Linked DNA regions of Anolis sagrei. The protein of the gene in region 2 binds, or shares a complex with, the protein of the main gene of each other region. Links are inferred from orthologs where the notes say so. Each region holds a gene or a part of one and is shown on either strand. Other genes may lie near its edges. The genes, in order: MIDEAS, DNTTIP1 and SAP30.

Region 1 (7,940 bases), on a different chromosome or scaffold from region 2:
CTGGAAGTTAAACCAAACCCTTATACGAGATGCAGACACATACATTATCTGTAAAAACGAAATGTATGAGGACGCAATATAACAGTATCTCATTAACACCTTTCATTTATGTTTTTTTAAATATATATTATTTGTACGATAATACACGTTTCCAAGATTTGGGTCATTTCTCGTGATGTTTGCGTGACACACCTACACATGTCACGAATGACTTGAGAAACTGCAAGTCGCTTCTGCTGTGAGAGAATTGGCAGTCTGCAAGGACGTTGCCCAGGGGATGCCCGGATGCTTTTTGATGTTTTACCATCCTTGTGGGAGGTTTCTCTCATGCCCCCACATGGGGAGCTGGAGCTGACAGAGGGAGCTCATCCATGCTCTCCCCAGATTTGAACCTCTGACCTTGTTGGTCTTCAGTCATGCCCTCACAAGGGTTTAACCCATTGCACCACCGGGCACTCCTGTGTCATGACACACAGTTTGGAAAGCTCTGTGCCACAAGCTTCCTTTGCAAAACCAAAAGCACCATGTGAGACTTCAGCGCAAGGGAGGGAAAAAAAATGTCCCGTGGGCTTCACAAGGCTTTAAAGCACCCAGTCCTTTGCACAGGCTTGTTAGAAAGCTTGCAAACCTTATGTAAGGTTGCAGGCGCCAGTGAGTGTTTTGGCCAGCTTAGTCAATCATGTGCCAAAAGAAACCCCTCCTCTTTCGTTTCCTGCTACAAACTTGAGAAATATGCTCCAATGAACATCTGTCAGGAGCCACGCAGAAAGCTTTTGTCCCACTGGGTCTTTAAAAAAAAAAGCATTCGGGGAGCGGGGAGCGGGGAGGGGGGGGGGAAGCAAGCCTATTTAAGTCTCAGAGGAGACGTCTGATCCCTACAGACTGGAGATGATTTGTCTCAAGGCAGCGCCTTCTGTCTCCTTCCTGCAAACGTGTCCCATATTTGGAAGACCTACTTTGACACTTTCCGTCCTCCCTCCCCCTGCAATGGAAGCAGCCTTTTTCCACACTTGTGGGTGGAAAGAGCAGAAACCACTGTGGATAAAAAGGGGAGGGTGTTCCAACCGCAACAAGCTACCTAGTTTATTTTATTTGCTTTATTGATTTCGTAACAAAAGCATTGCATAAATTAGTATAAATCTGATAAAAATAGAAGGCGTGCAGGCGGCTAAATATCTTTTGACCAAAAACAGGCAACAGCAATGGCATTGTCTGTAGCCTCCAACAATTCCTCCTCTGTACATGAGGCAGGGCACAATGGACAAGCATACAAATGTGGAGCTGTCTGTTCTGCTCCACAGTCACACAAGGTTTGGGCTTCTTTTAGGTAATGCCATTTTGCCAGATTGTCTTTTGATCTGCCCACTCCACTTCTGAGTCTGTTCAGGGACTTCCAAGATGTTCATTCCTGGTTAGCTGCCCTGAGGGATACCCTTGCTGTTGCTAGAGGGATGCCAAGAGGAGTGGTAGTTCTCATAAAGCTTTTCCTTGATTTGAGTCTGTTGGGAGGAGACTGGTAGCCATGTAGTAGATGGCTTTTACAGTGTTCAACCTTATTTCTCTCACATCGAGGGGGAGGGGGGCACTGCCAACTAGCTTATAGAGTTTATCAACAGGTGTAGGTTTAAGACATTCTGTGATTATTCTGCATGTTTAGTTCAATGCTACGTTCACCTGTTTTCATGGGCAGACTTATGCCAAACAGGACAGGCATATTCGGCAGTTGAGTAAGACAAGGCCAAGGATTATGTTCTTATTAATTTTGGGTCTGCACCAAAATTTGATTCGCTGAAGGTGCATCTACAATAGGTATGGGCAAACATTGGTCCTCCAGGTGTTTTGGACTTCGACTCCCACTATTCCTAACAGCCTCAGGCCCCTTCCTTTTCCCCCTCAGACTATATATTATATAGTCAGTGTAATAAATCCATATAATGCAGTTCAAGGCAATGTAGATCTATTCCCAATTGGGAAGATGAAATAAAACAACTTCCAGTCTCACTTGGTGCATCTACACTGTGGAATGAATGCAGTGGTACCACTTTTACTGCCAAGGCTCAATGCTATGGAATCTTGGGAGTTTAGTGACTCCCCAGGAAAGGCTAAAGACCTTGCAGAACTACAGCTCCCAGGATTCCATCGCATTGAGCCATTTTGCAGGGAAAGCTAAAGACTTTGCAGAAATACAGCTCCCAAGTTTCCATAGCATTGAACCATTTGGCAGGGAAAGCCAAAGACCTTGTAGAACTACAGCTCACAGGATGCCATTGCATTGAATCATTTGGCAGGGAAGCCTAAGGACCTTGCAGAACTTGCAGAACTACAGCTCCTAGGATTCCATCGCATCGAGCCATTTAGCATGGAAGGCTAAGGACCTTGCAGAACTATAGCTCCCAGGATTCCATCTCACTGAGCCTTTTGGCAGGGAAGGCTAAAGACCCTGCAGAACTACAGCTCCCAGGATTCCATAGCATTGAGCCATTTGGCATGGAAGGCTAAAGACCTTGCAGAACCTTGCAGAACTAAAGCTCCCAGGATTCCATAGTATTGAACCATGGCATTTCCGAGTCGTGTCAAACTGCATTCATTCTACAGTGTGAAGATGCACCCAAGAGGGGGGGGGGGGGGGGGACAAAGCAAAGCAGCTGGAGTGTCAGCCTTTCTGTATCTTCATCCCCGGGAGTGTTTTAAAGCGGAATAATAGTGCGATCACAGTGCAAAGCCTTCCGCCCCGAACGCCACTCACTGCAAACCTGTTCCTGCTCCTCTTCCTCCTTTTCAAAAGTTTTCCCTTGTCTGTTTACATAAGCGCAGGCTCAGCTGCATGCAGGCTTGCTTCTCAACTTTTACCCCGGAGAGAGAAAGCAGGACATCTGCCCAAACTGGGAAAGCCATGACCCCAGGATCCCCTCCCCACCCCGAAGGGTCGCTTACCTTGATCTGCTGCTCCTGAGTCGCCCCAGGAGCCAAATTTGAGGCCCTCCGTTGCCTCCTGCTAGTGCTGCTGCTGCTGCTGGGGAGGCGTCACTTCCTAGAGCAGCCCTGGGGCAGAGGTTTGGGGGCTGGGCTCCCCGAGAGGCCCTCTCAAGCCCCGCCCCGTCTGCCCACCCTCCCCACCTCACCCGCCTAGTGACTTCTGCTGTGGCTGTATCTGCAATATCTGCATATGGTCAGTGCATCATATGGGCAGTGGAGCTCTATGTAATGCAGAATTAAATGCATTATATGAGTCAAAAATACAGCTTAATGGCAGAAATACAGCTTAATGGTGTAACATTAGAAAATGTTGACCATTTCCACTACCTTGGCAGCCACCTCTCCACAAAAGTCAACATTGACACTGAAATACAACACCACCTGAGCTCTGCGAGTACAGCATTCTTCTGAATGAAGCAGAGAGTGTTTGGGAACAGGGACATCCGTAGGGATGCCAAGGTGCTTGTTTATAAAGCTATTGTCCTCCCAACTCTGCTATACGCCTGCAAGACGTGGACTGTCTACAGATGTCATATGCAACTCCTGGAACAATTCTATCAGCACTGCCTCCAGAAAATCTTGCAAATCTCTTGGGAAGATAAGCGGACAAATGTCAGCGTGCTGGAAGAAGCAAAGACCACCAGCATTGAAGCGATGGTCCTCCGCCATCAACTTTGCTGGATTGGCCACGTTGTCCGGATGCCCGACCACTGTCTCCCAAAGCAGTTGCTCTACTCCAAACTCAAGAACGGAAAACGAAATCTTGGTGGGCAGGAAAAGAGATTTAAATATGGGCTCAATGCCAGCCTTAAAAATCTCTGGCATAGATACTTAGAACTGGGAAGCCCTGGCCCTTGAACGCTCCAGCTGGAGGTCAGCTGTGACCAGCAGTGTTGTAGAATTTGAAGAGGCACGAATGGAGGGCAAAAGAGAAAAACGTGCCAAAAGGAAGGCGTGTCAAGCCAACCCCGACCAGGACCACCTTCCACCTGGAAACCAATGCCCTCACTGCGGGAGAAGATGCAGATCAAGAATAGGGCTCCACACTCACCTACGGACCCGCCGCCAGTACAGCAGTCTCGGAAGACAATCCTACTCGGACAACGAGGGATTGCCTAAGTAAGTAAGTACATTGCTTTAGACTTGGTTTAGTTGCCATCAACTCGTTGTTGTTAATTGCATTCCTGTTCCAGGTGCCAATGCACTTTTAATCTTGCAATAATGTGTGAGTGAGTTGCAGTTGCTGCTCACGCTCTCTCATTTATTTTTGACGCCTAACTCTTCTTTGCATATGTTCATCTTAGGTTTTTTGTTTTTTTTAAATATTGCCCTGGAAGCCCTGTTGATTTCTAACAGCACACATTATTGCTGTTGCATATGGAGTTAAAATGTGTCACTCTGTCAGCTGCCAACACAAAATGTTCCTTTTACTGACAGGTGACTACTTGTGCTCCCAAATCTTTTGAAGTGTAGGTAAATGTGAGTCAGAGGTATATTTAAACATTTCAGTATTGGCTCTGATAAGGATGAAATGGCTTTTGTTGCAAGGCTCTGGAAGAACGTGCACAATAAATATGTTCTAGTCCTCACAGGATTTGAAATAAGCAAAACAAGAGCAGAATATTTCAACCTTCATGTTGTTACCGCATCACATTACTAAATGTAGAAGTGCCCCAGTGGTGCAATGCGTTAAACCCTTGTGCCAGCAGAACTGCTGACCTGAATGTTGAGTTGTTGACCTGAAGGTTGCCAGTTCAAATCTGAGAGAGCAGATGAGCTCCCTCTGTCAGCTCCAGCTTCCCATGCAGGGACATGAGAGAAGCTTCCCACAAGGATGGTAAAACATTAAAACATCAAAACATCGGGTGCCCCTTGGGCAATGTCCTTGCAGATGGCCAATTCTCTTACACCAAAAGCTACTTGCAGTTTCTCAAGTTGCTCCTGTAAAGAAAGATTTACTAAATGTAGAATATAAAGATATCACTCCTAGGGGGCAGATAAATATCTGCTGTATTTTCTGGTGTATAAGACTACTTTTTAACCCAGGAAAATCTTCTCAAAAGTCGGGGGTCGTCTTATATGCCGGGTGTAGTCTTATGGGGTGGGTGCAGAAACTTCCAAGCTGGACTGGAAAATCTGCGGTCGTCGCATATGTTTGGGGGGAGCTCAAAAACGGCCATGGCTGCATCACCACCATATGCAGTGACTGTCTAAAAGCAGCAAGAGGGGCGCTATACAAGTACGGTAGAAGAAAATCCACTCACCAAGATTCATGTAAAGAAGCGACTTGACGAGGTCCTGATGATGAGATGAGGGGGCACCTCACCGGGAAGGTGTAAGTGAAGGGGGAAGCAAACTTCAGGCATCTGGGATGTCCGAGGTATGGAAAAAAGAGATAAAGTGGTGCTGTGCCCAGAAAAACACTCCTCTTTCACCCATCTGGCCTGCCCTTGTATCCTATTATCGTACCTCCTTCTCTGCCTTTCAGATCTTGCTCCTGAGGACTACAGTGAAGTACCACAGGCATGCTTGTTTGAGATCTAAGAGGCAGAGAAGGAGGTATGGCAATAGGAAAATTACCATATTGAAATCAAATCTGATGTTTTTAAAAATTTTATTTGGTGTGCATTGGAAGAGGGGTAGTCTTATACAGCGAGTAATTTATTTATTTATTTATTTATTTATTTACAGTATTTATATTCTGCCCTTCTCACCCTGCAGGAGACTCAGGGTGGATCACAATGCACATATATATGGCACACATTCAGTGCCATAGACACACAACATATGTAGATAGACACACAGAGGCTATTTAACTTCCAGCTTCATGAGGGTGTGAAGCTGTCACTTCACTGTCCACTTGTGACACTGATGGAGTACTTCCTAATTCTTTTGCATGCTGCTGGAGATTTTTATGGCGTTGTAAATTAGTTAAATTAGCCTCCCCTCATAAGCGGTACCTAAATTTCCTACTTGACAGATGCAATTGTCTTTCAGGCTGCAAAGGTTGACAGCAAGCTAGACAAATGGTTGGGAGCTTACTTCGACCCGGCTGGCTTCGAACTAATGACCTTTTGGTCAGTAGTGATTTTAATGCAGCTGACTCCCAACCAGCTGTGCCACAACTCGGTCCTATATTCCAAACTCTATAGTTTAACTGGAAAAGTTGAGGATCGTCTTATACTCCCAGTCATCTTATATGCCAGAAAATACAGTATCTCAGGATGTGTTGTATTTCAGTGTCAATGTTGACTTTTATGGAGAGGTGGCTGCCAAGGTACTCCACTGGCTACCGATGAAGAACTGTAGAGAACATAGGAAGCATCTACACTGCAGAAGTAATGCAGTTTGAGACTGTAGAGATATGTTTATTATAAAGTGTTTATTATACTGTGTTTAAACTGTATTTGTGGTTTACATTTGTTGCCATGGCCTAGCTGTGAGGGATAGGTTGCCATGGTGACAAGACAAGGCAGAGGAGGTGGGCGGAGCTTAAGGAGAAAAAGGTTTGAAAGTGACAGTTAATTTTCAGTCAGGAGGATGAGACCCTGAGAGGAGGAGCAGAGTCAGATAGGACTCTGGGAGAGTAGCAGAGTCAAGAAAGGACTCTGGGAAAGTAGCAGAGTCAAGATAGGACTCTGGAAAAGTAGTTTGAGTCAGGAGGATGAGACCCTGAGAAGAGGGCAGAGTCAGTTAGGGCTCTGTGGTGTGAAGCAGTATAGATTCAGTTAGTTTTAGTGTTTGTGAATATTTCTTCAGCAAGGGAGCTGAAGGGAAAACCTCGTTAGATTACTTTGAGGAAAAAGAATCTAACAGAGGAGGTTTTAGGATCGCCAGTAGTGTAAGACTGGAGATCAGTGGTTTGATCCTGTATAGGACAAACAGTGTGAATATTCACAACAAGGAACACTGAAATAATAAAGTACTTCACTGAAGAAGGAGTTTATAAGATTGTAACATCTAAAGCCTGAATGTATCTCGACCAAGCCATATTGTAACCACCAAGCATATGCCAAGCTCTACATCTCAATATTGCAACAATTACGCTTTGTTTAACAATAAACTTGTTCTCTTTGTATTTTAAACCTGCCTCCTCCATTAATTTTACGTTTGGTGCATTCCACTCTACCAAAGTTACCTGACAACGCAAATAGGGATAAACAGAGACTTTAAGACCAGCGTCTCTAAACATATTGGTGGCAGTTTAATTTAATAGCAGTCTAGGAACTTCCTTACATTTTTGGTAATCCCATTTGGTGGGATTAACACCACGTCTTTACATTTTTGGTGGCATTGATACGTTCTTTTACATTTTTGGTGGCATCTAGTGGGATTAGTGCTTCTTTACAGAGACCCTTTTCACTGCCATGGCTTAATGTTATGGAATAATGGGAAATGCAGTTTTGCAAGGTCTTTAGCCTTCTCTGCTCTGCCAAACTCCAAATTCCAGGAGTACATAGCATAGAGCCATGGCAGTTAAAGTGGTATCGAACTGCATGAGTTCTACAGTGACGATGCACCCATAACCACAACACTGTTATCCCTACTGTAACATTTATATTTGTAACATTAAGTGGTAAATGGAGTACTCTGTTACTTACCACAAATTATTTTGTGACATGGATGATTGTGTGGCTCCCTTCCTTTCCAATTCTTCTCCTCTAAACTCATATTTTAGTGTGTTTTTTTTCCTTTTCTCAGTGCTGCAGCAGCTGTTGTTGCCATGCTCTCCATTCTGTTGCTATGATTTGCAGGGTTTGTGTATTTGCCAGGCTATGATTCTGCCATATGAACAGTAATGATGTTCATTCTACAAGTACCTCTCCCACAGATAATATCTTTCATTTTCCAAATAAACAATATAAGTTTTGGGATGGTTCCTTTGAAAACACAAAATATTCTGTTGTAAAAGCAACCGAGCAAACACAAGGAAAAGTGGCTTATTATGCTATAGTGTTACCTCA
Region 2 (7,007 bases):
TACTGTACATGGCGCCTACAATGTTTATTTATTTGAAGTTACCTAATTGGTGTAGAAGCGTTTAACCTGACACACATATTGTGAACCCGTATCTTGGGAAGTCTGACTTGGCCACGGTGGTACATGCTTTGGTCACATCCCGCCTCGACTACTGCAACGCTCTCTACGTGGGGCTGCCCTTGAAGACGGTCCGGAAGCTCCAGCTAGTCCAGCGCGCGGCAGCCATGTTGTTAACGGGAGCTGGACGCAGAGAGCATACAACGCCCCTGCTGTCCCAGCTCCACTGGCTGCCGATCTGCTACCGGGCCCAATTCAAGGTGCTGGTGCTCTCCTACAAAGCCCTAAACGGTTCCGGCCCAAAATACCTTGCAGACCGCATCTCGGCCTATGAGCCCACGAGGGCCTTGAGATCATCCGGGGAGGCCCTTCTCTCGGTCCCGCCTGCCTCACAGGCACGTCTGGCGGGGACGAGGGAGCGGGCCTTCTCGGTGGTGGCCCCTCGGCTATGGAACGCCCTCCCTGCTGAAGTTAGACAGGCGCCCTCCTTGATGGCCTTTCGTAGGGGCCTGAAAACATGGCTCTTCGAGCAGGCCTTCAGTTGAGTGTAGTGAATGAAAATGGAATGAACCAGGACTACGACTTTGCTTATGACCCCAGGACTTGACGAAGCGGATTTTTAGTATAGGTGTGTGTTATGTTGTATTTGTCTGATTAGTATTGTCACGGTTCACTGTACATTGTCTTCTTTGTTGTTGTTCACCGCCCCGAGTCGCCTTCGGGCTGAGAGGGGCGGTCAATAAATGCAAGAAATAAATAAATAAATAAATAAACAGATAATTGGTAATATTGGTAAAATACATTTCAGTTGGAAGATGAGCAAGTGAAAGACTGTATGATAAGATGGGATGTTTATCGACCAGGAGTTGATGGCCAAAGTGACGAGGAGGGTGATATTGGAATTCTAGGATAACAGAGTTGGAAGAGACCACATAGACCATCATTAACTGACCCAAATAGTACTTTTTCTGTGACTTTTGTGAGCGTTAACTATAAAAGTGTAGCTCAGAACTGTCACAGTTAGTTTCTCATCACAATACTACTACATGGTAAGAAATAATTTATGTCCCCCCCATATAAAACTATGCTGTAAAAGTGCCAATATATGGGAGCTGATTTCCCAGCCACAGAGTAGAGATACCACAATACAATGTATTTGGATCTCCAATATGTTTTTTTGGTATATGCAAGGTCTACATCAGTGGTTCTCAACCTGCAAGTCCCCAGGTGTTTTGGCCTTCAACAGCTGGTCTATTGGCTGAAATTTCTGGGAGTTGTAGGCCAAAACTCCTGAGGATCCACAGGTTGAGAACCATTGGTCTACATTTAGTCAGCTAACATTGGGAACTTGTATTAACTGACCTAAACATGGATGGGTTATGGGTAGATAAACCAATAAGCCAATGGGTGCTAAATACCGATCCTCTGATGACATTTACGATACGCCTTCCGAGATATGTCAACCCTGGCTAGGTGACTCTGATGTCTAGCTGACCCTGAGGAGGAGCCCTGGACCCAGCATCGATGTAACTAACTGTCCCCTGCCAGGCGTTGCTGTGGCCGTCTGTTGATCTGGCAAATAAAGTAATGAGAAAGTGTTGGTTTCTAATAAATGTAATTTCGTTCTGCTTGTGGGTAAACAGTATTTCTTGCTGTTTCTTTGTCAGTGTTGACGTAGAGATTGTCTGGTTTGCCCACCCTGGAACATGCAACATATAGTTGTCCTTCTTTAAGCGTCCCTTTCAAATCTATGATACTATATCTCTGTGTGTGAATCATATCTATCTATTTAGCTATCTATCTATCTATGGCTATGGCTGGATGGGTCTTTGTGAGGAGGACTTTGATTACATTTTCTTGCCCTGATGAAGGGAGCTGGATTGGATGGCCTCAAGTATTTTCTGTTGGTCATGGGGGTTCTGTGTGGGAAGTTTGCCCTGATTCTGTCTTTCGTGGGGTTCAGAATACTCTTTGATTGCAGGTGAACCATAAATCCCAGTAACGAAAACTCCCAAATGTCAAGGTCTATTTCCCGCAAACTCCATCTGTGTTCATATCTGGGTGTATTGAGTGCTTTTGCCAAGTGTGGTCCAGATCCATCATTGTTTGAGTCTGTAGTGGTCTCTGGATGTAGGTGAACTACAACTCCCAAACTGAAGGTCAATGGCCCACCAAACCCTTCCCTGACAGATGGCCATCCAGCCTCTGTTTCAAAGAGTCTCCACCGCACTCCCTCTGGGGCAGAGAGTTCCACAGCTGAACGGCTCTCACAGTCAGGAAGTTTTTCCTCATGTTCAGAGGAATACCTTTAAAAACAATTTTGTGCCTGAAAGAGTGTGGGTTGGAGCAAACTGAACCACGAGAAAGCACCACAGTCTGTGAGGAATGGTGGTAGGAATGCAAGTCCAAAGCGCCTGGAGAGAAGGAGGAAAGGAAGGAAGGAAGGGGATCCGAAGTAGGCCCAGGCGAGAGAGAGAGAGAGAGAGAGAGAGAGAGAGAGAGAGGTGGGCCGGGAGAGAAACTAAGCCTGAAGGCCGGCCATCCCGCCCCCAGAACGCCTTCCACCCATTCTGGTTCGACTGCCACCCTGGACACAGCATATTCTTATTTGAGAACACAGAAATGCTGGACCACTCTCACAACCACCATGTCAGACTACACAGAGAAGCCATGGAAATCCACAAGAAGCAGGTGGACAATTTCAACAGAAAAGAAGAGACCATGAAAATGAACAAAATCTGGCTACCAATATTAAAAAAAAACTCTAAAATTACAACAGCAAAACAACAGAGAAGAAACAAACAAGGACATCTAATCACCTCTCAACAAAAGATTGCTCCAGGCACTGTCAGGCCATCAAACATCCCTCCTCTCCTTCAGAAGGAAGCTAAAGACCTGGATGTGGCAGATGGACAAAGACAACCAATAATGACCAGAGTAGGAAAGGACAATGACGATGATAAATGGTTTACGGGCTTGGATTTGGTGAACACTGACCACAAGATGTTTTTATTCATGATAGTATACTGTTGATTGTTTTAATTAGCTATAACTGTGATATTATATGGTAAATTTGTGTATTGTATATTGTATTGTATTTTGTGAATTGTTAGGCATCGAATTGTGCCTTTTGTAAGCCGCCCTGAGTCCCCCCGAGGAGGTTGAGAAGGGTGGGATAGAAGCACCCCAAATAAATAAATAAATAAATAAATGCTAATCAAGGTGGTCAGTTGAAACATTCACACGTAGCTCCAGCAGACAAGAGTCCTTTGTCCCACCCTGGTCATGCCACAGATATATAAACCCATTTTTCCTAGTTCCAACAGACCTCACTACCTCTGAGGATGCTTGCCATAGATGCAGGCGAAACGTCAGGAGAGAATGCCTCTAGAACATGGCCATACAGCCCGAAAAAACCTACAACAACCCAGTGATTCCGGCCATGAAGGCCTTCGACAATACAGTATTAAAAAACTCTAAAATTACAACAGCAAAACAACTAGAGAGGAAACAATCTGGGACATCTAATCACCTCTCAACAAAAGTTTGCCCCAGGCACTGCCAGATCATCAAATGCTAATCAAGGTGGTCAGTTGAGACATTCACACCTAGCTCCAGCAGACAAGAGTCCTTTGTCCCACCCTGGTCATTCCACAGATATATAAACCCTTTTTCCTAGTTCCAACAGACCTCACTACCTCTGAGGATGTTTGCCATAGATGCAGGCGAAACGTCAGGAGAGAATGCCTCTAGAGCATGGCCCTATAGCCTGAAAAAACCTGCCACAACCCAGTGATTCCGGCCATGAAAGCCTTCGAGTAGCCATTGCCCGGCTTTTCCTTCAGGAGAGGCCTGCTTCCCTCGGTTTCCAAGCAACGGCCCCACTTCCGGGTCGTGCCGGGCGCGGGGTGATGACGTCCCTGCGTGGCCGTGGAGGGGGGCGTGGCTGCTGCGCGAGGGAGTCAGTCAGGGAGTGAGCGGATGGGGGCCGCCCGCGAGACCGAGCAGCCCGAGGCCGAGGCCGGGGAAGAGGAGGAGGAGGACGAGGAGGAGGAGGAAGAGGAAGAAGAGGGAGAGGAAGACGAGGAAGAGGAGGAGCTGGCGGTGAGGGGGGGCGGGGCGGTTGCCGGGATACCAGGGGGAGGGAGGGGGCGCCCCAGCCCAGCATGCACCGCGGCAGAGGTGTGTGCCTGGCTTAGGAAGGACATCACAGGCCTAGACCAACTTAGGCCCTCCCTCCCGCCCGCCAGGTGTGTTTTGGACTACAACTCCCAGAATTCCTAAGAGCCGGTAGGCTCTTAGGAATTCTGGGAGTTGTAGTCCAAAACACAACTGGCGGGCGGGAGGCAGGGCCTAAGTTGGCCCAGGCCTGGACTGTCATCATAAACACATATCCTTCAGCCCTCCCGCCAGTTGTATTTTAGACTACAACTTCCTGAATTCTGGGAGTTGTAGTCCAAAACCCCTGGCGGGCGGGAGGGAGGGAGGGCTGAAGTTGTCCCAGGCCTGCTCTAGCATCATCATCACATGGGAAAGGTTTCATTACACAGCCAAAACTATCATTATTAATTACTATATTATTATATTTGATATTAGGAATTCTGGGAGTTGTAGTCCAAAACACAACTGGCGGGTGGGAGGCAGAATTCCTAAGAGCCGGCAGAGGTAAGCCTAGCATTGGTGTGCCTGGCTTAGGAAGGACTTCAGAGGCCTGGACAACTTCAGCCCTCCCGCCCGCCCGCCCGCCCGCCAGGGGTTTTGGACTACAACTCCCAGAATTCCTAAGAGCCGGTAGGCTCTTAGGAATTCTGGGAGTTGTAGTCCAAAACTCCTGGCGGGAGGGAGGGAGGGCTGAAGTTGTCCCAGGCCTGCTCTAGCATCATCACCACATGGGAAAGGTTTCACTACACAACCAAAACTATCATTATTAATTACTATATTAGTATATTTGATATTATTAGCAAACTGACAAAACTATAACAACAAGGTTTGTGTTCCCGGCTCAGGAAGGACATCCCTTCCCAACCAGGTCTCTCACAGGCCCTCCTTCCCTCCCTCCCTCCTGCCAGGTATTTTGGACTCCACCTGTTAGGAATGATGGGAACTGGAGTCTAAAACACCTGAAGGGAGGGAGGGAGGGCATAAGTTGGCCCAGGCCTGTGAGAGGCCCAGTTGGGAAGGGATGTCCTTCCTGAGCCGGGAACTATCATCATAAACAAAGTTCTTGTGAGTTTTTTCGGGCTATGTGGCCATGTTCTAGAGGCATTTTCTCCTGACGTTTCACCTGCATCTATGGCAAGCATCCCTCAGAGGTAGTGAGGTCTGTTGGAACTAGGAAAATGAGTTTATATATCTGTGGAATGACCAGAGTGGGGCAAATGACTCTTGTCTGATGGAGCTAGATGGGAATGTTTCAACTGACCACCTCCATTAGCATTAGAAGGTCTGGCTGAGCCTGGGGGAATCTTTTGTTGAGAGGTGTTAAGATGCGCCTGGTTGTTTCCTCTCTGCTGTTTTGCTGTTGTAATTTTAGAGTTTTTTAATACTGGTAGCCAGATGTTGTTCATTTCCATGGTTTCCTCCTTTCTGTTGAAATTGTCCACATGCTTCTTGTGGATTTCAATGGCTTCCCTATGCAGCCAGTGGTTCCCTTGATGTATGGCAGGAACACTTTTCCTCTGAGTGGACCGCAGAGGGAAGCTGAGGAGGAAACACAACATACAAACTATCTCCAGACCCACCAAGAAAATCCAACAAATGCTTCATCCAGCAAAGAACAAGAGGGATCTTCTCGCTTCTGCAGGAGTCTACCATTGTATACCATGCAGCTGTGGACAAGAAGTCTACATAGGGACCCCCAAATGCATTATTGCCTAGACACGAATCAAGGAGCATGAAAGGCACTGCAGACTACTTCAACCAGAGAAGTCAGCCATAGCAGAGCACCTGATGTACCAGCCTGGACACAGCATATTATTTGAGAACACAGAAACGCTGGACCACTCTCACAACCTCCATGTCAGGCTACACAGAGAAGCCATTGAAATCCACAAGGAGCAGGTGGGGAATTTCAACAGAAAGGAAGAGACCATGAAAATGAACAAAATCTGGATGCCAGTATTTAAAAACTCTAAAATTACAACAGCAAAACAGCAGAGAGGAAACAACCAGGCGCATCTTAACACCTCTCAACATAAGATTTCCCCAGGCTCAGCCAGGCCTTCAAATGCTAATGAAGGTGGTCAGTTGAAACATTCACACCTAGCTCCAGCAGACAAGAGTCCTTTGTCCCACCCTGGACATTATTCCACAGCAGGCATGGGCAATCTTTGGGCCTTCCAAGTGTTTTGGATTTCAACTTCCAGCTACTGGCTGTTGGGAATTGTGGGACTTGAAGCCCAAAACCCCTAGAGAGCCCAAGTTTGCCCATGCCTGCTGTACACTATAGAATGAATGCAGCTGTGGTGTCACTTTTAATGCCAAGGCGCAATGCTCCAGAGCCCTGGGAGTTGTAGTTTGGTGAGGCACTAGAAGTCTTTGACAGATAAGGTTTAAGGCCAGAACTCCATGGCATGAAAGAGGACTCAAGGTGCTTTCGTTCTGCCGTGTGGATGTACTCAAACCAGCGTGCACCCATCCACCTCTGGTTTCTTCCCACAGAGTCCCTGGAACATCATGATCAAGCACCGGCTGGTCCAGCGGCGCGGGCGGCGCTCCCAGATGATGACCAGGTACAGAGACCCCCCCCTTCCTTGCCTCCTCCTCCTCCTCCTCCCAGGAGAGGCATTGTGGTCCAGCCATTGACCCCTTGTCCTCCCCCCCCCCCATCTCCAGCTTCACAGACCCCGTTGTTTCCATGGACCTGCTGCGAGCCGTCCTGCAGCCCACCATCAACGAGGAGATCCAGGCCGTCTTTGGGAAGTACATGAAGGTGTGCAACTGGGGCCCTT
Region 3 (7,137 bases), on a different chromosome or scaffold from region 2:
GTGGATGATGAAAGTACTGAAATCATGTAGTTTATACAGGTGATCTGAACTTAGTAAGTGAAATTGTGGATGAGTGTAATAGTGTATATGGTTCTGAGGATACAAAACGTTGTCCTGTATCTATATACAATAGCAATCTCTTCCCTTTTCCGCTCCACAGCAAAAGAAGCCCACTTACTCAATACTGGAGGTAGACTACTACCCGATTGGGGCACTAAGTTTAAGATAACATTGTATTGTCTTAGAGGTTGTGTAAACACACTCCCTAATGCAGCTAATAATTTTCTAAGGACCCTTCCACACAGTCATATATCCTCGAATATCAAAGCAGATAATCCACAATTTCTGCTTTGAACTGGATTATCTGAGTCCACACTCAGATAATGTGGGGTTTTCTGCCTTGATATTCTGGGATATAGAGCTGTGTGAAAGGTCCCTCTGCCCACTTGCAGCTTTCACTTTTGACTTGGGGCCCTTCCACACAGCCATATAACCCAGAATAGAAAAGAAGATAATCCACAATATCTGTTTTGAACTGGATTATCTGAGTCCACAATGCCATATAATCCAGTTTAATGTGGATTTTAGCTGTGTGGAAGGAGCCTTGATCAATGAGGAGCAAATCAGTTGTTGCGCAGTAGGTGAACTCAATGCCTATCCAACAATCTAGTTGCCTGATAGGAAATTTCCACAACTGTGGTGTAACTGTTCTGATATGTTTTTTTCTGCTTTTGTAAAACCATACAGAATCTAGGCTGGGAGATATAATTATATAACTATCCTTTTTTGTTTGTCTTCCAGCCATTTCCAACTTACAGGGATCTTATCACAGAGTTTTCTTGGTAAGATTTGTTAAGAAATAATTTTCCTTATGTCTTCCTCTGTGGCAGAGGGACTATGGTTAGCTCAAGGTCATCCTGTTGGGTTCCTGTGGCTGATCGGGTATTCAGCCATGATCATAGTTGTAATCCAATGTCCAAACCACAACACCATGCAGCTCTCACTAGTATTGACCTAGGACCCTTCCACACAGCCCTATATCCCAGAATATCAAGACAGAAAATTCCACAATATCTGCTTTGAACTGGAATATATGACAGTGTGGACTCAGATAACCCAGTTCAAAGCAGATATTGTGGGATTTTCTGGCTTGATATTCTGGGATATAGGGCTGTGTGGAAGGGGCCTATGTTGCAGGAACAGCTCCTTTTGTCTCTATGGAATCTTCTGTTATTGAAATTTGTGAACCAGCTGTTTCCCTTCTGCAGGACTATCCATTTTCCGGAGCTGGTAATTACAGTTGGCCCATGGTATCCACTGGGGTTTGGTTCCAAGTAACACACACACGCCACGGATATCAAAATATGTGGGTGCTCAAATCCCATTATCTAAAATGACATGGTAAAATGACATTAATTTAATAAAATGGCAAATAACTCAAACAAGTGTTGAGGATCTGTGAAATGACAGGAGGTTACAAGAGAATATGCCTATACATTACCATGGTGCTTCGCATGTGGCAAAATCAAAATGTTGATTATTGGATTTCCCTCCCTGAATATGTTATAATTGAATCTGTTAGTGCAGAATTTCTGAATACAGTGGGACAACTGCGTGTCCACCTCCATCATGTGCTTTCCTAAGCTAAACAGCTTTGCAATGTTGTAAGCAAACGTTTAATTTCCTTGCACCACAGAAGGAAGAGGATTGTCTTGAGCAATACAAAAATACACTAACAATAGCTGATGAGAAAAAAAGCTCTGTGCATAATTTTTAGTGATATCTGCCACCACAGGTAAGAAAACATTTAAAAGGGTCTTTTAAATTTGTCAAGTAGGTCTTCCTGCCAAATTGCTTATGATTGTACAGGCAGTCCCTGAGTTACAAACATCTAACTTACAAAGAACGGGGATGAGACAACAGGAAATGAGAAAATCTACCCTCAGGAAGAAATAGCCACCCCTGAGTTATCATGGGAGGAAAGGGTCTCTACTGAAGCTTTATCACCAATCCCTGTGAGCCTCCAGTGGCGCAGTGGATTAAACCCCTGTGCTGGCAGGACTAAAGACCGACAGGTTGCAGGTTCAAATCCGGGGAGAGACGGATGAGCTCCTTCTATCAGCTCCAGCTCCTCATTTGGGGACATGAGAGAAGCCTCCCACAAGGATGATAAAAACATCAAATCATCCGGGTATCCCCTGGGCAAAGTCCTTGCAGAAGGCCAATTCTCTCACACCAGAAGCGACTTGCAGTTTCTCAAGTCGCTCCTGACACGACAAAAAAATAAATAAATCCCTGTTTCCACAACAAGCCTGTTGGAAATAGTAACCTTCTCAAGCCTCCACTAGTTACGTGTTATATATATAGCTAGCTGTCCCGTGTCATGCTTTGCTGTGGCCCAGTCTGTGTATATGTGTTTTGTGTGTGTATATATGTGTATATATGTGTGTGTGTTTGCATATATACACACACACACGTGTGCACGTGTGTACATATATGTGTGTGTGTATATATGTACATATGTGTATTTTTGTGTGTTTATATGTGTGTATGCATGTGTATATGTGTGTGCATGCGTATATGTGTGTATGTATGCGTGCATGTGTTTATGTATATGCACCTTCCTCTTGGCACGTTTCTCTCTTTTACCCTCCATTTGTGCCTCTTCAAATTCTGCAGCACTGCTGGTCACAGCTGACCTCCAGCTGGAGTGCTCAAGGGCCAGGGCTTCCCAGTTCCCAGAGTCTATGACAGAGTTTTTAAAGTTGGCTTTGAGCCATCTTTAAATCTCTTTTTAAAGGGGCAATGCCAGCTAGCTTGTAGAGTTTATCAACAGGTGTAGGTTTAAGACAGGGGTCCTCAAACTAAGGCCCGGATATAGCTCTCCAAGGTCATTTACCCGGCCCTCGTTCAGGGTCAACCTAAGTCTGAAACAACTTGAAAGCACACAACAACAACAATCCTATCTCATCAGCCAAAAGCAGGCCCACACTTCCCATTGAAATACTAATAAGTTTATATTTGTTAAAATTGTTCTTCATTTTAATTATTGTATTGTTTTAAGTGATTTTTGCACAACAAATAAGATATGTGCAGTGTGCATAGGAATTAATTCATTTTTTTTTTCAAATGATAATCCGGCCCTCCAACAGTTTGCGGGACTGTGACCTGGCCCTCTGTTTAAAAAGTTTGTTGACCCCTGGTTTAAGACATCCTGTGATTATTCTGCAAGTTTCATTCAATGCTATGTTCACCTGCTTTGCATGGGCAGACCTATGCCAAACAGGGCAGGCATACTCAGCAGTTGAGTAAGACAAGGCCAGGGCTGATGTTCTTATTAATTTTGGGTCTGCACCCCATGTGCTGCCAGTAAGTTTCCACAGGATGTTATTGCATTCAGCTGGAGGTCAGCCGTGACCAGCAGTGCTGCAGAATTTGAAGAGGCACGAATGGAGGGTGAAAGAGAGAAACGTGCCAGGAGGAAGGCCGTTGAGCCAACCCCGGCCGAGACCGCCTTCCACCTGGAAACCAACGCCTTCACTGTGGGAGAAGATGCAGGTCAAGAATAGGGCTCCACAGTCACCTATGGACCCACAAGAATACTGATCCTGGGAGACTATCCTTCTCGTCTAAGTAAGTAAGCTGGGGAGGGGGGGGGCACGCCAAGAGGAGTGGTGGTTCTCATAAAGGAGTTGGCTAGGCTTTGCATTGCAATGGGAGAGAGCAGTCTTTTCCAACTTCCCGCTTTCAAAGCCTCCCCCCCTTTCCAAAAAAAAACCGGTCGCATGAGAGGAAGAGAAGGAGGGGGAGGGTCTGAAGCTCAGACGTCACGAGGCATTTACTTAAATGGCATCCGAGCGAAGGTTTCAAAAACCGGTGAGGAGAAAAAAAGGGAAGCGGGTCACGTGTCCTTCGCAAGCCTTGCCTGCCTGCCTGCGCGCGCGCAAACAAGCCCGCTTTGTAAATACACCACCACACTGAGGCGGCGGAGGAGTTCCTTTTTTTTCTACATCTCGCAAAGCGTTGCATTCTGGGATTGGTAGTCCTGAAAGGCGTCTAATCCCTTCTGCAAAAACAGAGACAGGAACTACGTTTCCCATGAGCGCATAGCGAGAATTCGAAAGGGGAGGGGGGAAAGAAAGAGGAGAGAGAGGAAAACAGAGCCAGCTCTACCGGGGTTTAGTGTTGTTGCTGCTGCAATGGGGAGAGGAGTGCTGGAAAGTGCCGCGCGGTGCCCCAAGGGGTGATTGATATCCCTCCGACGAAGCCGGGAAAGGGAATGCGGTGGGTCTCGCCTTGAGCAAGCAAGCAGCACCAACACACGCCTTCCCCCGTATTGAATGACTTTACTGTCGAAACACAGCGCGGAGATGAATGGCTTCGGGCCCGACGACGTGGCCCGAGGAGGAGGAGGAGGAGGGCCAGGAGAAGCCCCGCTCCCCGCCTTGGTTGCCAATGCCGGGGAAGCCCTTCCTCTGCCGCCGCCACCTCCTCCTCCTCCGTTGCCCCTTCCTCCACCTCCTCCTCCGCCCGGGCTGGGCATGGCCTCCTCCTCGGTGGCCTCCTCTTCCTCCTCTCCGTCTGCTTCTTCGGGGGCGGCTCCGGCTGGCTCGGGCCCCGGGGCGGGCCAAGTGTGCTGCCTGAGGGAGGAAGGCGAGCGGTGCGGGCGGGCGGCGGGCAACGCCAGCTTCAGCAAGCGCATCCAGAAGAGCATCTCCCAGAAGAAGGTCAAGATCGAGCTGGACAAGAGCGTGAGTCTTGGCTTTCATGGCTGGAATCACTGGGTTTTTCGGTTGTTCTAGAAGCATGCTCTCCTGACGTTTCGCCTGAGGCTGAGGCTTGAGGCTTGCCATAGATGTAGGCGAAACGTCAGGAGAGCATGCTTCTAGAACATGGTCAGGAAAAGAGAGTTATTGTGCCTGCCTGCCCTCCTTTGCAGACTTTGCTTTGATCTCCTCCCACCCACTTTTGACTTGTTCCCCTTGAAGTTTGCTTTTTCCCCCAACTCTTTCGACTTGGATTGGTCATTTTTGCAGCCTGCTTTGCCTTATATGCTGCTTAGACTTTGTCTTGTTTGTCTTCCACTTTGCATTGTTTTCTCCACTTTGCATTGTTTTTTTCTCCACTTTGCATTGTTTTTTTCTCCACTTTGCATTGTTTTTCTCCTTGCTTTTGCGTTTACTGCACGGCCTTCTTTCTATTTTTGGGCAGTTTGCACTGCCTCCCCCCCCCCCCCTACTGTTATATTCCTGACAGGCCCTATTATCCCAGGATCTGATCCCAAGTTTCCAGATTTTCTGCTTTAAACTGGATTATATGTGTCCGCACTGCATGATAATTGGTGGCACTCTGAGTGTACAGTGTATCTGGCAGCGCCCACTCATATAATCCACTTTAAAGCAAAAATACTTGTGATCAGTTCCTAAGATAAAGGGCCTGTCTGGAAGGGCCTTGAGTCTGTATCTACGCCGCCCTATATCCCAGGATCTGATCCCAAATTTTCTGTTTATCCTGGCTTATCTGGCAGTGTGAACTCATATAATCCAGTTTAAAGCAGAAAACCTGAGACCAGATCCTGGGATAAAGGGCTGGCCTAGAAGGGCCCTAAGGCTGAATCTACACTTCCCCATATCCCAGGGTCTGATCCCAGGTTTACTGTTTATCCCAGATTATCTGGCAGTGTGGACTCATAGTCCAGTTTAAAGCAGAAAACCTGGGGTCAGATTCTGAGAGGTAGGCCTGTCTGGAAGGGCCCTCAGGTCCCGCTTCTACACTGCCACATACAATCCAGATTATCCTAACTGGATTATATGTCTCTACACTGCCATATGATCCAGTTCAAAGCACAGCATCTGGATTTTATGTGTCTGCTCTTGAAATTTTCATTGCATTTTCTTTGCACTTCTTATTGCCTTTCACTGCTTACTTTAATCCCATCTGCACTGGCCAATAACTGTTGGAAACTGCATAGACAATGAGAGATCATTACTGGGCCTCTGGTTGAGAACTATCTCACACCTTGGCTTTGTTGGTCCGTGTTGGCCCAATTACCACCACTGGCCATACAACCAGTCTTGTTAAGTTGCAATGTTGTTTTTGTGTTGTGGGTTTCTCTGAGGTTGTAATGCTGGGACTTGCTTGTTTTATGAATGTATGTTGGAATCCGCCTGAGCGGACGGAATATAAATAAAGTTTTATTATTTTCTTATTTATACCAGGCATGGGCAAACTTTGGCCCTCCAGGTGTTTGGACTCCAACTCCCACAATTCCTAACAGCCAGTAGGCTGTTAGGAATTGTGGGAGTTGGAGTCCAAACACCTGGATGGCCAAAGTTTGCCCATGCCTGGTATACAGTCATTATTTGAGTCTACACTCACTCAATGCAATTTCCAACTATATTATTTGGCACTATGGAGGGGGCCATTGTCTTGTTCTTTGTGCAGTTTCGCAGTCTTCCTCCCATCGCCTTGTTTCTCCTTGAAGTTTGCCTTGCCTCATTCTCCTTGCCTTTGCGGCTCTTTTCTCCTTGCAAAAAACAAGTGTGCAAAGCCATCCGCCTGTTCCCTTTCTCTCTCTGTCTCTCACTTCCCGCCCTCCTCCTTCATGTCTCAGGACGGCAAAGAAGTGCAGACAGGAAGGCAACAAAAGCCATCCCGCCACAATGGAGGAAGGAGAGAGACAGAGAGAGATTCCCCTTTCCAAGGGGGGTCCTTTCTCCAGATCTGAGGTGTTTCGATCCCAATCCCGATGACTTTTTGTTGTCCCATTTCCCTCCACAGTCTCCTTCCACTTCATTCCTTGAGAGGGAAACAGAGATGCAGCAAAGGAATGAGGAGTTTGGCAGATAGGATCCCCCAAAGCTTGGGGCAAATCTCATTCCGCATCCGGCTGTTTATGTCTGACGCGGCAAAAACCTGCTCTTTGTCATCTTCTCTCCCTCCTTGATGGCATTGCTACTTTGATGTTATTTTGCTTTTTTCTTGCTCTCATAGGCTGCCTCTACCTTTCATAATTGAAACACCCTAATGCCTTAATATAATGGAGTTGTAATTTTGCAAGGTCTGCAGCCTTCTCTCGCCGTACATTCCACAAAGTGATGTTAAAACTACATTCATTCCTCACTGTGTTATTTTGTC

What was found.
Region 1: the proteins of DNTTIP1 (region 2) and MIDEAS are in contact, whole or in part, in a cryo-EM structure (PDB 6Z2J), measured with the Homo sapiens proteins. The link is inferred for Anolis sagrei from reciprocal best matches to the Homo sapiens genes DNTTIP1 and MIDEAS. Residues at the interface, in NP_443183.1 of Homo sapiens: Pro63, Ser66, Leu69, Leu70, Ala72, Val73, Leu74, Pro76, Ser77; in NP_001036783.1 of Homo sapiens: Gln768, Asp771, Leu772, Thr774, Ala775, Ser778, Ser779, Ile802, Leu803, Leu806.
Region 3: DNTTIP1 (region 2) and SAP30 share a complex: the UniProt entries of both Homo sapiens proteins name them as parts of the histone deacetylase complex. The link is inferred for Anolis sagrei from reciprocal best matches to the Homo sapiens genes DNTTIP1 and SAP30.

Annotation. Positions count from the first base shown.
Region 1 is NC_090021.1:286,468,882-286,476,821, forward strand, and holds the start of MIDEAS (mitotic deacetylase-associated SANT domain protein), read right to left. Parts: upstream 3,032-7,940; 5' UTR 2,935-3,031; intron 1-2,934.
Region 2 is NC_090024.1:248,956,333-248,963,339, reverse strand, and holds the start of DNTTIP1 (deoxynucleotidyltransferase terminal-interacting protein 1), read left to right. Parts: upstream 1-3,989; 5' UTR 3,990-4,038; coding exon 4,039-4,161; intron 4,162-6,717; coding exon 6,718-6,788; intron 6,789-6,891; coding exon 6,892-6,988; intron 6,989-7,007. UniProt on the Homo sapiens protein: Increases DNTT terminal deoxynucleotidyltransferase activity (in vitro). Also acts as a transcriptional regulator, binding to the consensus sequence 5'-GNTGCATG-3' following an AT-tract.
Region 3 is NC_090025.1:60,585,851-60,592,987, forward strand, and holds the start of SAP30 (histone deacetylase complex subunit SAP30), read left to right. Parts: upstream 1-4,112; 5' UTR 4,113-4,340; coding exon 4,341-4,751; intron 4,752-7,137. UniProt on the Homo sapiens protein: Involved in the functional recruitment of the Sin3-histone deacetylase complex (HDAC) to a specific subset of N-CoR corepressor complexes. Capable of transcription repression by N-CoR.